2 linked regions of the Drosophila melanogaster genome follow. The protein of the gene in region 1 interacts with the protein of each later gene in a pairwise test. Each region holds a gene or a part of one and is shown on either strand. Other genes may lie near its edges.

Region 1 (6,814 bases):
TATATATATATATATACTCTACACCGCGATCTATCGAATGGGAATGCAGCAATCTCGCCAAACAGAACGAACACGCATCAATTTATACATTTTATATATATATAAAGATATATATATCTAAGATAACGAGGAATCGGCGTACAATGTAACCGCAATTGCCGCTTCAAACCGACGGCAATACTAAATACTGGAATACTGATTGTATTTTTACGCTAGCCACAATTTGATATAAACTATATATCTTCCAATTTTTTTGTACACCTAATGTTAGTTGAAATATGTGAGCGAGACGAGCAAATTTTTGTAGCAAACTAAAAGCGCTAAATGTTTACTTTTTTATATTATTATATATATAAATACTTGATAAACATATACCTAATATTAGATCTAAACTAAACTAACTATAAATCGCACACACTCATACACTCACACAAAAACACAATGCAATAATTGAGTTACATAGTTTTAAACAAATGTTAAAACATTTTGCTGCAACCGTCGGAGATGTAGTGTACAATTTTTAGTTTCTCGTATTATTTTTTTTTTTATGTCTGTTTTGTGTTTAAATTTTTTGTAACTTTTTACAAAGCGTAAACTGTGTATGTATGTGCTACATTGATTTTTGTTTAATTATATCAAGTTTTTATTTAAAAAATCGAACACCACCTTGCATTCTCCTCATTTGAACGTGGCGCTCACACTTATTACTTATATAGGTCAAATACAGCGGGCTCTGGTGATCAATCCAATCAGCAGAAAGTAATGAAAAACACCGAAGTTAATGTTTAAACATAAACACACAATGAGAAAAGAGTCGTGTTTCCATATTCACTTGATTTAATCGGCATGCGATGTTACTCACAGCGAAAGGAAATTCAGCAAGCTTGAATCGATAAAATTGTTGTATATATTAAATAGTTTAACACTGTGTAATTTTATTTATCCTAGCTCGATTCTAAGTGCTTGCGTAAATGATCATTTAAATTTTCTAACCCGAAAGAACTTATTTATTGGTTTATTTATACAAAATTGAAATGAAGTGCATATGGAAACACAACTCAAAAACAGACAGCACAAATAGAACAACAGGAACAAATGACCAACGCATTTCGAAAGGCGATAATCATTTACACGAAAAACCAATATAATTAAACAGAATCCCACGCAAACTGAAGACTAACTAACAACCAAGTTAAGGGCTAGTTAATGGAGCCGGTGCCAAAGCAAAAAAGGAAAAATGATAACAACACCTACACACACGACAACTAAATGTAACAATAGCAATACATTTTAATGAAAATTGTAGTCCAAATAATTTGCATACATTTGTATTTTGTCCAAACTTAGTTGAAATGATTAACCGAACTGTGAAAGAGTGCAATAGAAATCGTTTTGCTTCTAGATTAGTGAAAAATACAACGAAGCCCCTAATTTGAATACGAAGCAACCCAAAATCCCCGCCCTCCCGTAATAACAATAAATACATATGCATAATTATGCAAAAGTTTGAGAAGATGAAACTAGAAAGTCTGTATAATGCATACATAATATACGACTCCATTATACACACACACACGCATACTAAGGCCGATGAATAACATATGCATATACAATATAGACATATATTAAATATATATCATTGTAATAATTTGTAATGTTTATCAGTAGAATTATGATCCGAGGTGGAGCAGACGAGTAAAACGCATGCAGAGATCCATTAAAGTGTACTGTAAAATGTGCCACACATTGTTTTATCTAAATTTATTAAAGGATTTATTATTTTGCAGAGGGTAAGTTCTAAAACTTAAAAACTAGTCCTGTTTGGAAGATCCTAATCATTGCAACGTTTTATAAATCAAAGCCGAACTCTTACTCTAGTAAAAATTTGGCTACGTTCGGAAAATTAGCCAGAACATAGGAAAAACCCTACTGAATTAAACAAAAAAAAACGTGTTTAACATTTGGCTACGATCGTGTTAGTATTGCATACTTTTAGGTCCATCTTTTTGCACAGAGTTTTGTGTGAATCAACAATAAAATTGGCACTGGAATTGGTCGATGGCGTCCCACTACTGATTGCCAGGCGCCGTTGCTCCTGTAGTCTTCATGGCCAGCATGGCGTCCAGTTCGCCCTGGATGCTCTCGAACTGATTGTACAGTTCCATTAGTTCCGGTTGTGTCATTTCGATGTTGATATCCTCGCCGACGGCCGTTTTCATTTGGAGCACGGCCAGCGGGGTCTTCTCCCGCTGCTGGCAATGCGAGGAGATCTCCATGTTGAGCTTCCAGGCCACATCTTCGATGACATTTGATTCGTACCGCTTGCTGGCCAAATTGTTCATAATGGGCGTCGTTTCGCGCACCCACAAACGCAATATGGCATCGATCTTGGCCTCATCCTCCAGCTGGAGTTTCTCGCGCAGCTCACGCTGCAGCAAACTTGGCTTGATGATAAACGTGGAGATGCGACGCAGGATGTAGGAGAAGGTCTTGATCAGCAGCAGGAAGTCCTGACGCGGTACGCCCACCAATCGCTCCAGTTCCTCGAGTGTGTACTCCGGTTCGGTGTTACTTGTGGGGTTCTCCTCGGTGCTGCTGTCCACCCGGCCGGTGGTCGTCACACTGGTGCCCACTGTACTACTGGTGGCACTCGCCGATGCTACGCTGGGACTCATCTGCCGGTGGGTGTAGAACAGAACCGTCGTAAAGGTCTCGTAGGGCAAGGCATTGATGATTTTGATGCCCTCACGGGCTCTAAGATATAAATGCAAGAAATTAATCTCTATAAGAACATTGATATTACATACCTTTCCGTGATCTTTATCCAGTTAATGCTCATTGTGAGATATATTTAAAAATTTTTAAGGAACATAGAGTTATTAAGTCTTTACCAGCACTTCTTTTATTATGACTTTAATATTATTTGTTTATACAGACCAACAATATACAAAAAACTATCGACTTGCCACGGTGCGGTGCTGCCACACAGTTACTACTGCCAATAATAACGGTAAGTGCTGACTAAAATACAAAAATATTACATTTTGCGATGTGATTTTAAACATATTCTTTATTAATTTTTTAGATTTAAATGTTTTATTAAATTAATTTATTTTTCTGTATTTAGGCCTGAATAATTTACCTTATAAAATTACAATGTTTTAAATAATATTTGCTGTTATGTTTCCTGCAAAATAAAATTCGTGAAAAAAAGCCGCACCAGCAAATATCAATACCAGATTGTCGACGGCACCGACGATCGACGATTCAATTTGTAGAAGATTATCAAGTACGAATAGTTTTCCAACTCATTAATATAATCGTCCTACCTGGCAACTCCGCTGATGCCTATCGATGCTCCGCTCGATAGCGCCAACAATCGATAAGCAGTATTTGTGTATTGGAAACGCGGCTTAACTTAATGCAGATTTTTCCGCTGATTCGGCTGCGAAAGATGCACTTTTAAGGCGCAGCGAGTGCACCCACGCCCCGAGTTCGAGTGCAGTTGCAGTCGGGAAAGCTTGACAAGTGCGCGGAGCAAGGAGAGCGACGAGTTCGTTGAGCTACAGCGAAACGGAAAAGTGTAAAAGCGGGGTAAACAGGCGCAGCGGAGCGGATGATAAACGGAACTCGGGATCGGAAAATTGGAAGCAAAACCAACCACCGATTATAAAAAATAGTCAGCATCTTAAAAGTAAGGATTTCAAGCTAAGGTTTCAGCGAAAGCCCGAGAAAAACAAAAACCCCAACTAAACTAACGGAACAGTGCGTCGGGATATATGCATGTGTATGTGGTATACGTATGTGTGTCTTTGGCTGCGTGCGATTGTATTGTTCCTGTGTAAATAAACAAAACCCGGCTCTTTAGTCTTCCACTAGTTCGTTTCGCGTTTCTCTGCGAGGAATTTTTGTTGAAAAAACTCAATTTGGCATAGCATAACTTCCAGTTTATTTCCCTATTCTGCAAACTGTGTGTATCAGTGTGCTGGTGCTTCCAGCATGCCGTAAAAATCGATAGCGCGTCGTCGGTTGTTTATTTTATGCTTCGTCTGCATTTTGCAGCCCCTTTTTATCGCTCTCCCCTTTTCAGCCACCCTTGCACACACTCACACTCTCTCCGGCGGAGTCGTGTGATGCATACACACACACACACACAGACACATGCATACGCCTGATACGGGAAATTAAAAATAATACTTTTTATCGCGGCATGCAAAAGGCAAAGCTGCAAAAACAGAAACAATTCCAATTCCAACAGCAATAATCTAGCCATGCAATCAATTTTAGCCAAACAATAAAAAGAATCGTTTGGTTTCAGTTTCCCCGCTTTTCTTTTCCGTTATTTTCCTCTCTATATTCGGTTTTATCGCATTTTCCGCTCATTATGGCAGTTTAGCATATTTATGCTGGAAAAATATTGGGGTTTCTTCGCTTCTTACCTTTGTTTTACGTTTTGTTTTGCTGTCGGGCTGTAAAAACAGCAGTTAATCCAATTAAGAAAAATAAAACTCTAAATGCCATCGCCACCACGAATTCGAAATCACCTTTTATCTACTCAAAAGATATTCATCTTATTTATTTTCCAAGATAAATGTTAAATTATAAATATATTATAGAACCATACACTTGTTGAAATAGAATTTCTGCTAACAGCTGCGAGTTTTACAGTCATAACTATTATTATTATTTATTAACTTAGATTTCTACAGGCTGCGATTTTATAAAAATGATTCAATTTTTTATCTAGACTTTGTTATTAAAATTTCTACATAAGCAGAAAATAATTGCTGCAATGACAAATATTTCATTTTCAGCTTGTGTTTATCGTAGCTTATTTTTTGTTAAATGTATATTAAAGTATTTACTCCCCTTCTCATGTAATATACATATATTGAAAAAACAGTACTTTTGTCTATTAGAATATATTTATACCCTCACTTATTGGTTCATCTCGAAAACTGGTCGAGTAAACTGAGAATCTTGAGATAGTTTCTTGAATTGGATATAATTTGCATGGTTGGCCAATCTTTTGGGTCGGCTATGCCCGCCTCTTTGCTTCGTAGAGGAGCTTGGGCACCGGGCACTTGCAATTGGCACCAGCTTCGGGCCAGTCAGTCCGCCAGACTTGGTCTTTGGGTCGAGATGTAGAGCTGGATAGTGTGCCACACTATATAGGGGATACTACTGCGATACAGACACCGCGGACACGGCTGACATGCATTAATGCTGCGAATAATGCCTATTGCAGACGGGGATAATGGAGTCACAGAAGCGGCCTTCGTTGGACTTACACACGGATGTGCCAGCAGGATTAGCAGCTGGAGGATCTGGCCTGGGAGCTGCAGCTGAGATGTCGCCCACTTCCGGTTTCCTGCCGGACATGCCGCAGTGGAAGAAGGACCTCATCCAGCGCCGGAAAACGAACGTGGCCCGCACCCAGGCGGCGTCCATCACCTCGCCCACCGATGGCAGTTGTGGGGCTTTGGCAGAAGCCAACGCAGCTCCAGGTGCAATTGCAGGTGAGTGGTGGTTGGACAAACTGGAATACTTTCACCTGACACGCAAATTAAAGGTATTTTCAAGCCAAGCATTTCTGTCAAGGCATGTTAGGTGCAAGTATTCGTATTTCTAATCGCTATTTCTTGCATTCTTGACAAACGAAATAATTGCACTTACTTTTGAGCTCCATACTTATCCCTTTTAAATGATACCGTTCGGTACTTAAAATAAATTCAACGAACTATAGACTTCGGAAAGGTTTTTAAAATATTTAAAAACTGCCGTAGCAAATAGTAATCAGGGTGAAATATATTGACTGGAAAAATGCGAAAGACTAATTGTGACTTACACAATCTGCAATTGCTCAGTTGGCGTTAACCAGCCATGAGTAATGGTAACAAGTGTTTTTAATTCATTTTGCCAACTTTTACGATTTCCAATACCAGTATACTTTTAAATTAGCCGCCTTACATATTCGCTTATCGATACGATATTCGCTTATCGATAGCTCACAGAGTTGTCAGATTGCGGACGAATAAGATAAAAAAAACCAAGTTATGTTTTAATGTTCTGTCTTTATAACATTTGTATTTGCTTTCTTTCTTCAATTTTTTTTCTAACAGATTTCACAGAACCGGCGACAATCAGTAGCACTAGTCAAAAGAGAAACATGATCGGTTCAGAGGAAAAGTCTGAGAAATCTTCTATTTCCAATACCAATTCCGATTCCACTGGAGGTCATCACTCTGTTGTTGCCGTCTCCCTTTCGCCCGATGCGGCAGCAACAACAAATGTAACAGTAACACCAATACCAAAGCAGCGATCGAGTTTACTCAACACAAGAAGTCAGGAGAGGGAGATGGTGCGATATATTCTAAGCGAGAGTGGAGAACGGGATGGAGAGCTTGAGAGCGGCGAACAGCCGGCTGGTGTGGTGAGTAACAGCCGGTGCGGTGAAGTTGAAACTGGCACAATTGGATCGCCGTCGTCGTCAGCAAATCAAAATCCAAACCCAAATCATTTAAAAACGAAATGCAAACCGGGACAGAGCGTTGCTGAGGGCAAGCCTTCAGCTAAAGAGACCATCGTCGATAACAGCAAAAGCTGCAGCAAAACCAAGAGTATTTCCGATAAATTGCAGAGCAACAAGTTTATAATTCAACAGCAGCAGCAACAACAACAACAACAGCAGCAACAACAGCAACTGTCGCCCACAAAGGTAACGGTAAAACCGACAATGGTCGCCATGCAAGAGATGAAGAAGACAACCAAACAAAATGGCCAGCACCGACATCTAGCGGGCAAAATTGGCAGC
Region 2 (7,367 bases), on another chromosome or scaffold:
TTATCTATGTAAAAAAGATATTTTATAATGTACCAAAAAGTGAAGTGATTCCAAGTCAATACGTAAATACATATTGTTTAAAATATTAGTTTATGTTAAGAACTGCTATCACTGGCCCTAATCGCCTGACCGCCATTGTAGCTATGCTAATTTCCTTTACCCATGCATAGATATCGGAAAAGCACTTTATGCATATAGATAAATATAAATACATAGGGAGCTAATCCGGAACAACGCCCCATTGCAGAAAACTGGATGTCGATACCCGTGGGCATGCCCAACTGCCCGCAGGGACTGGAATACCTGACCGCTCTGGACCAGTTGCTCGTGTCGCAGAAGATCGAGAAACTGGAGCTGCTCACCGGCTTCGAGACGAAGAACCGCTTCAAGGTGAAGAACTCACTGGGCCAGAATGTGTACTTCGCGTACGAGGAGAGCGACTGCTGCACCCGCAACATGCTCGGCCGGTCGCGCCCCTTCGAGATGAAGATACTGGACAATTTTCAGAACGAGGTGCTCCACCTGTACCGGCCCTTCAAGTGCGACATCCTCTGCTGCTTTCCCAGCTGCATGAACGCCGTGGAGGTGTCGGCGCCACCCGGCCAGGTGATCGGTAGCGTTGAGCAGGTCTGCACCTTCATGCGGCCCAAGTTCAACATCAAGAACACATGCGGCGATACCGTCCTGCAGATCGAGGGACCCGTCTGTCCCTGCAAGTGCTTCAGCGATACCAACTTCAAGGTCAGTACGCAGCCAACAAGTGGTTATTCTTGGCTCTCGATCTCGATTCCCAATGCCCAAACAAGTGTATACACACACAGCAGCGGTCAGCGGATTAGCTTTAAATTCTTCGGAGGAGTACATATGTATGGTCTTCATCAGTCAAAGACGAAGCTTTATAAAATTCCAAAATGAACAGTATCAGGCGTCCACTTAATTGCTTTTTTAATTATTAAACATTTATAAGTGCCTATATACATATATTCTAAATAATTATGAACAGACAGAAGCGTTCAAATTAATAGCACCCACACTAGTTTTAAATTTTCAATTGTATACGTTATTTAACAGATGCCTCTAGATATAGGAAAATCAATCAATCAATTTATACTTTTTATGGCTAAAATGCACCAAGTGTTTGTGCCGATCTATGAGCCCTTTTACTGACCGCTGCTGTGATCGTACAGAAGCAAAGAGACTGCAGTCCGAGGCAGTGACGTCATGGTTAGCCATGCCTGACTGTCCAGAGCGAGTCAATTAATTGCGATGCCGCGAACTGCGAACCGATTAATGCGAAACGCAAACATCTCTCGCCCCTTTAACCGCGCACAGGTATTGAGCGCCAACAACGAGGAGATCGGCAAAATCAGCAAACAATGGTCCGGACTGGGAAGGGAGCTGTTCACCGATGCGGACTACTTCAGCGTCACCTTCCCCCTGAATCTGGATGTCCGCATGAAGGCGCTCATATTCGCAGCGCTCTTTTTGATTGTGAGTATATCAGTATATCATATATATCACTGAGTGAAATAAAGCATATGCCAGTGCTATATACTCGTTTCCCTTCATTGATTTGTGTTTGTCTTAATTCCAGGACGCGGTTTACTACGAGCAGTAGGCTGTATGATGAATCGCATTCTAAAGGAACAAACGCCCAAACATTATAATCGCCGACTGCTTTTTGGTTCGACGTGTTGCATGGTCATAGCTCTAAGAACTTTTTAACCCCTTATTTGATTAACGTTTCCGGGAATCTGAACAGTGCAACGCTTTGATCGATACGGAATCTCCGCAGCAAAGGAATCTCCCGCACAACTTGGATCTGAACCGCAGTTGCACCTTCGTTATTTTATGAACCTCGGTTTTGGCATTTAAAGCTCACCACAATGAAGCACTTACTGACAAACGCACAAAACGGAAAACAGAAAGCAGACTACACACGAAGAATCCGACGAGAACGAGTGCCTTATGACGTCCTAGTTATTGTCGTCGCCCCCGTCCCGTTTCCCCAGATTTATATACCTCGACAGACCTAGCTTTGTTGTACGCATAGGTCGGAGCACAGGATAACTTAATTGCAACCATGGCGTACCTAACTAATTTACTATTACCTTTTACCTACTACATATTACATATTACATATATTTTTGTATGAAACTAATTGCAATCGAATTGTTACCCATTAGAGTGGCCTAGTGAGCCAGCTTTCAAGGCATTTTGAGATCGAAAACATCTCCTCCTTTTTGGTACCGCTCCTGTGGCGCCGCGCAATTTTCATCACCTTCACATGTACTTCATGAATTTATTTATATCTCAGTTATGCTGTAAAATAAACAAACTATGTTTTGTACAAAGCAAATGCGAAATATTCACAATCGGTGGCATTGCGGATTTGGATTTTCTGTACAGAGGACTCTAGCGATTGTTCGTTTGCATCGTGATTCAGTCGTGAACATTAGGAATGTAACTGGGCTAGGCTACTAAGGTAATGTGCATCTCTATCTGTCCCTAGTTGTTCTTGGCAAAGTACTTCGTCTTCTCCTCAGGATTGGGAACGATCTGTAAAGGTAATGGTATCAAAAAGAATTTACCTAAGGCAATGCTTCAAAAAACCTACCGTATCGGCACCTGGCCGCCAACCTGCTGGGCAAACCTCTCCATGGGTGTCCGTATACTGGAAGGCCTGAACCAGACGAATAGTCTCGTCCACAGAGCGTCCCACGGGCAAATCATTCATGGTGATCTGTCGCAGCACTCCGGTCTGATCGATAATGAAGAGACCGCGCAGCGCATGACCGCTGGACTCCAAGTAGACTCCGTAGTCCTTGCTGATCTTATGCGTTAGATCGGAGAGCAGTGGGATCTTCACGTCGCCCAGGCCGCCCTCCTTGCGCGGCGTGTTTATCCAGGCCAAGTGGGTGAAGTGCGAGTCCACGCTGACGCCAATCACCTCGGTCTTGATCTTCTTGAACTCGGCGATGCGGTCGGAGAAGGCAATGATCTCCGTTGGGCATACAAAGGTGCTAAAATGGCAATGAGAAATGCGATCATACTAAATGTAAATGTAAACTTACAAGTCCAGTGGGTAGAAGAGTAGCACCACATATTTCCCTAGATACTGGGACAATGATAGCTTCACAATCTCCTTATTAACCACGGCGGTGCCCTCGAACTGCGGAGCTGGCTTGGAAACTGGGGAAATAAGGGTAGCAGCAACTTAATAGTGATCCCTGGTTTTTTGCATCCAATGGAACTCACTGACTGCCTTGGTGTACTGCAGCTGATGGTCGCCCTTCGGCTGGTCGGGATAAACGGAGCCGCCGGCGAAGGAATAGCACGATTCATTATCTTCCGGCTTGGCAGCTCCAACGAGTGCCGCGGACAGCAGTAGGACAGATAAGTACTTGGACATGATTGGGCTGAAACGAGATCCACGTACGTATATGGCTATTGGATTCGGTTTATACGCTATTTATTACACGCGGCCTTTACAATTATTGCCGCTCTTTATATTTATAATAAATCTGTGTACAGTGGTCGCCCAACTATCTTTAATTTTGTAAATTATGTAAAGATATATAATTTTGAATGTTAATTAGGAACAAAACTAAACTTCAAAGAAAAGATACTCCTTCTATGTACTAAATCCTTGTTCCGTCCGTGTCAGCCAGTCTCTACTGTACGCACATACCCAAAATTCGAACACGCCCACAACTTGTAGCCACGCAGTCAAAAAAGTAACTATTTCAACGGGCAGAACTTCAATTGATTTTGGTGGAACGCGCTTATTGTTGCTGCGCTTCCGAAAAGATAAGCTTATCAATTTCATTCACTTCACTGCTATTATAATTTATAGTTGTCAGCGTGTAACCGATTTAAACAAATATAGTTTACAAAACTACTAAAATTCCAATGCCAATGCGATTGCCTAGCTCCGATTTGAATATTTATTTTTAGTTGCAGGGTAGTTAACTTGCTTGCATTAAGCAACAATGCAAACGCACAGCTGTTACCTTTTAAGCGCTATAATTAACTCTTTTTGTTTTAATAACAAATTGTTCTGCCGGCATTGGTGTGACCGTAATACGCAAAAATACCATACTGTCGTTCCGACACCAATGCATAGTTCAGCATTGCCAACATAAATTTCATTATGAAATATTTGAATTTTCATTTCATATTAACGCGTAACTGCAATTTTGAAAGAATATTATTTTAGAAAAAATATCTGTGCTGCATTGGCGAATCAAAAGCGATGTATGGCCATGCTATGATCTATCCAATTTTTTTTAAGTAAAAAACACTTTCTCAGTTAACTTTTACTTACGCTATAAACTTTATTAAAATATATACAGTTTGTCAAGAAACTGTTTACACACTGTGAAATAAGTTGAATTTTTGACTTTAAAGCTAAAAATAAAGGGTTTTTTGCTTAATTAAACGCAATTTTTTTATAAAATATAATTAAACAATATTTATTTTACTTATAAATCAAAAAACAAATTAAAAATATTAAATATACAAGAAAATAAACAACAAATTCCAAGTTTACACACTTTTGAGACTGTCAAGAAACTCTTTACACATTTTGTTTTCCTACTTTGTTTTGTTCTTTTTCTTAGAACGAACTCGATTTTTCCGTTATTTTTGGCTTTGCATTGCTTTTTACAACGCTTCTATTGAAATTTTGTTGACTTTGCTTGTGAAATTTTGCTGATCAAACGTGCTTAAAGCGAATTATTAAATTTAATAAAATGCCTGGAAAGAGATTAACTTTTGAAGTTACCCAATTAATAAACTATAACCACCAGTTGGGAAAATCTTTTCCAGAATTAGTATAAATGTTTCCTGTATCCCGTAAGACCGTCTACAATGTTTTAAAAGGCTCGGAAAAAGAGGGCAGGCTTGAACCTAAGAGCGGTGGTGGGCGGAAAATTAAAATTAAAAAGCGTGTAGACCGCTTTATTATGCGAATAGTGATTGCGAACCCCCGAATCTCGGTCAGATCACTTGCTCTGGATATCAGGCAAGAATGCCACCTAACTGTGTCACACGAAACTGTGCGCCAAGTCATCCTACGCCATAGGTACTCTTCAAGATTTGCAAGGAAAAACCCTTTGCTATCAGATGCCAATATGGAAAAGCGTCATTAATTCGCTGTGAGCATGATGGATCATGCGGAAGAGTACTGGGATGACGTCATATTTTGTGACGAAACAAAAATGATGCTCTTTTATAACGACGGGCCAAGCAGAGTATGGCGCAAACCGTTGAGTGCGCTAGAAAAACAAAATATCATTCCAACGATAAAATTTGGAAAAATGTCACTGATGGTTTGGGGCTGTATCACCAGCCGTGGAGTGGGAAAACTAGCCTTAATTGAGAGCACAATAACTGCCGTGCAATATCTAGAAATGTTAAAAAACAAATTTGAAGGCCAGTGCAGAAAAATTCGGTCTAGTTAGCAACAACAAGCCAAATCTTAAGTTTTACCAGGACATGATCAGAAACATAAAGAGTGCAATGTACGCACCTGGCGCCTTAATAACTGTGGTAAAGTGATCGATACGCCCCCTCAGAGTCCTGATCTGAACCCCATTGAAAATTTGTGGACCTACTTAAAGAAGAAGGTGGCAAAAAGGGACCTAAAACACAACAACAGCTTATGACTGTAATAGTCGAAGAGTGTGAAAAGATCCCGTTTGAATATGACCTGCAAAAACTTGTCCAATCCATGAAAAAAAGGCTTCAACTTGTAGCTAAAGCCAATGGGGAACATACTACATACCAAAACTTTTAAAATTTTAATAAAATAATTAAAAAATTTAGGATTAAACTTCGATTTAGTGTTTTGTGTAAAGAGTTTCTTGACAGTCTCAAAAGTGTGTAAACTTGGAATTTGTTGTTTATTTTCTTGTATATTTAATATTTTTAATTTGTTTTTTGATTTATAAGTAAAATAAATATTGTTTAATTATATTTTATAAAAAAATTGCGTTTAATTAAGCAAAAAACCCTTTATTTTTAGCTTTAAAGTCAAAAATTCAACTTATTTCACAGTGTGTAAACAGTTTCTTGACAAACTGTATATCAATATATAAATTGCTCGCGCTTAAAAATTAGGTTTACGGCTGGAGTTAAAACAACACGTACACGCGTCTCTCTGCACGTTTAATTGCTACGACCAATAAATATAGATATTTCTCTCTTACGGCCTAGATGATATAATATGCATTGCATCCTCTAAAAACTACAACAAATTGAGCAAAAGTCTGTGTTAATTTCACAAAAAGCGAACATTAAAAGTACATTGCTTAGCATGCGAATTACTCATTTACTGTGTTAGCTTTGATTGAGAATTGTTTTTGTGGGCGTTAATGGTGGTGTTTCTTGTTGTCGATCCACATGGTGTTGTGTTTGCTGCCGCATTTATTGCAGATGAGAAAAGGGTGAGAAAAATGCACCTGGCCTTCTTCCGGGCCGCGGTCTAGCTCTCCCAGACTTCGTCCCGCTGTTTGGCAGCTAGCAGTTTGCGTTCTGAATAAAAAGATAAGGCAGATTAATAAAAGACCAAGGGAAGGCAGCGCCAATGATTCCAAATCAAGTATATCCTTGACCCAGTTTAGTTACATGGCCCGCACTCACCTTTGGCTTCACGTAGTACCCGCCTCTCGTTCTCCCGTTCCTGCGGCGCCGTGGGCAGCTTGACTCCCAGTGCACCCGATACCAGTCGTCGGGCCAAGGCCGTGCAGGTTTCCGGACGCTGGCGATAGGGCTGCATTGACACCGCGCCGGCCTTCTTTGCCTTCAGTCGTGACTCCAGAGTGGCTTCCGCAAGTGGCTTCAACTTGACAAACGGATGCCCCATCGTCAGCACCTCAGCAGCTGCGGAGGAAACGTTCTATTTCATTACCGAACCAATCTCCGGTTGCATTTGTAGGCACTCACCAATGCGGGAACTGCTGAACACAGCCAGGGCATGGGTATCGTCTACCCACTTGATGTCGAAACCACTGCCCCTGTACTGGGCGAAAAGCATGAGCAGGTCGGGAGTTTTGAACTCCACTGGGAAATTGGACACCTCCAGAACGTGCGGAAATTCCTCTTCGTTGAGCAGTTGTTGTTTAATGTGAAAGACCTGTACGAATTGTGGAACAGAGTGTTTAATTTGATGATGATGCTGGTTAACCAGTTATATCTACTTACCGTATAGTCCATTTTGGGCAGCTCTATTTTGCACTTGCCCACGGATTCAGTCAGTTCTTGGAGTAACTTGGGATCCAGACAGTCGCCGCTCTCGTCGAACATCTTCTCCCAGTCGTCCTCGTCCTCCTCGTCATCGTCTTCGGTGGTGCTGTCTACAGGTG

Evidence for each region.
Region 2: the proteins of Vlet (region 1) and Prx4 interact in a two-hybrid assay, tested with the Drosophila melanogaster proteins (one large-scale study listed by BioGRID).

What each region holds. Positions count from the first base shown.
Region 1 is NC_004354.4:11,675,596-11,682,409, forward strand, and holds Vlet (valette), read right to left. Parts: upstream 2,957-6,814; 5' UTR 2,840-2,956; coding exon 2,808-2,839; exon of another isoform or gene 2,755-2,807; coding exon 2,070-2,754; 3' UTR 1,749-2,069; downstream 1-1,748. Other genes in the region: bif (bifocal), read left to right, coding at 5,258-5,519, 6,123-6,814. UniProt on the Drosophila melanogaster protein: Scaffold protein in the commander complex that is essential for endosomal recycling of transmembrane cargos; the commander complex is composed of the CCC subcomplex and the retriever subcomplex.
Region 2 is NT_037436.4:3,039,097-3,046,463, reverse strand, and holds Prx4 (peroxiredoxin 4), read right to left. Parts: upstream 4,106-7,367; 5' UTR 4,014-4,105; intron 3,915-4,013; exon of another isoform or gene 3,692-3,914; intron 3,420-3,691; 5' UTR 3,413-3,419; coding exon 3,259-3,412; intron 3,193-3,258; coding exon 3,075-3,192; intron 3,024-3,074; coding exon 2,618-3,023; intron 2,560-2,617; coding exon 2,509-2,559; 3' UTR 2,290-2,508; downstream 1-2,289. Other genes in the region: scramb2 (scramblase 2), read left to right, coding at 248-741, 1,333-1,491, 1,595-1,618; CG2162 (uncharacterized protein), read right to left, coding at 6,488-6,537, 6,646-6,885, 6,949-7,138, 7,207-7,367.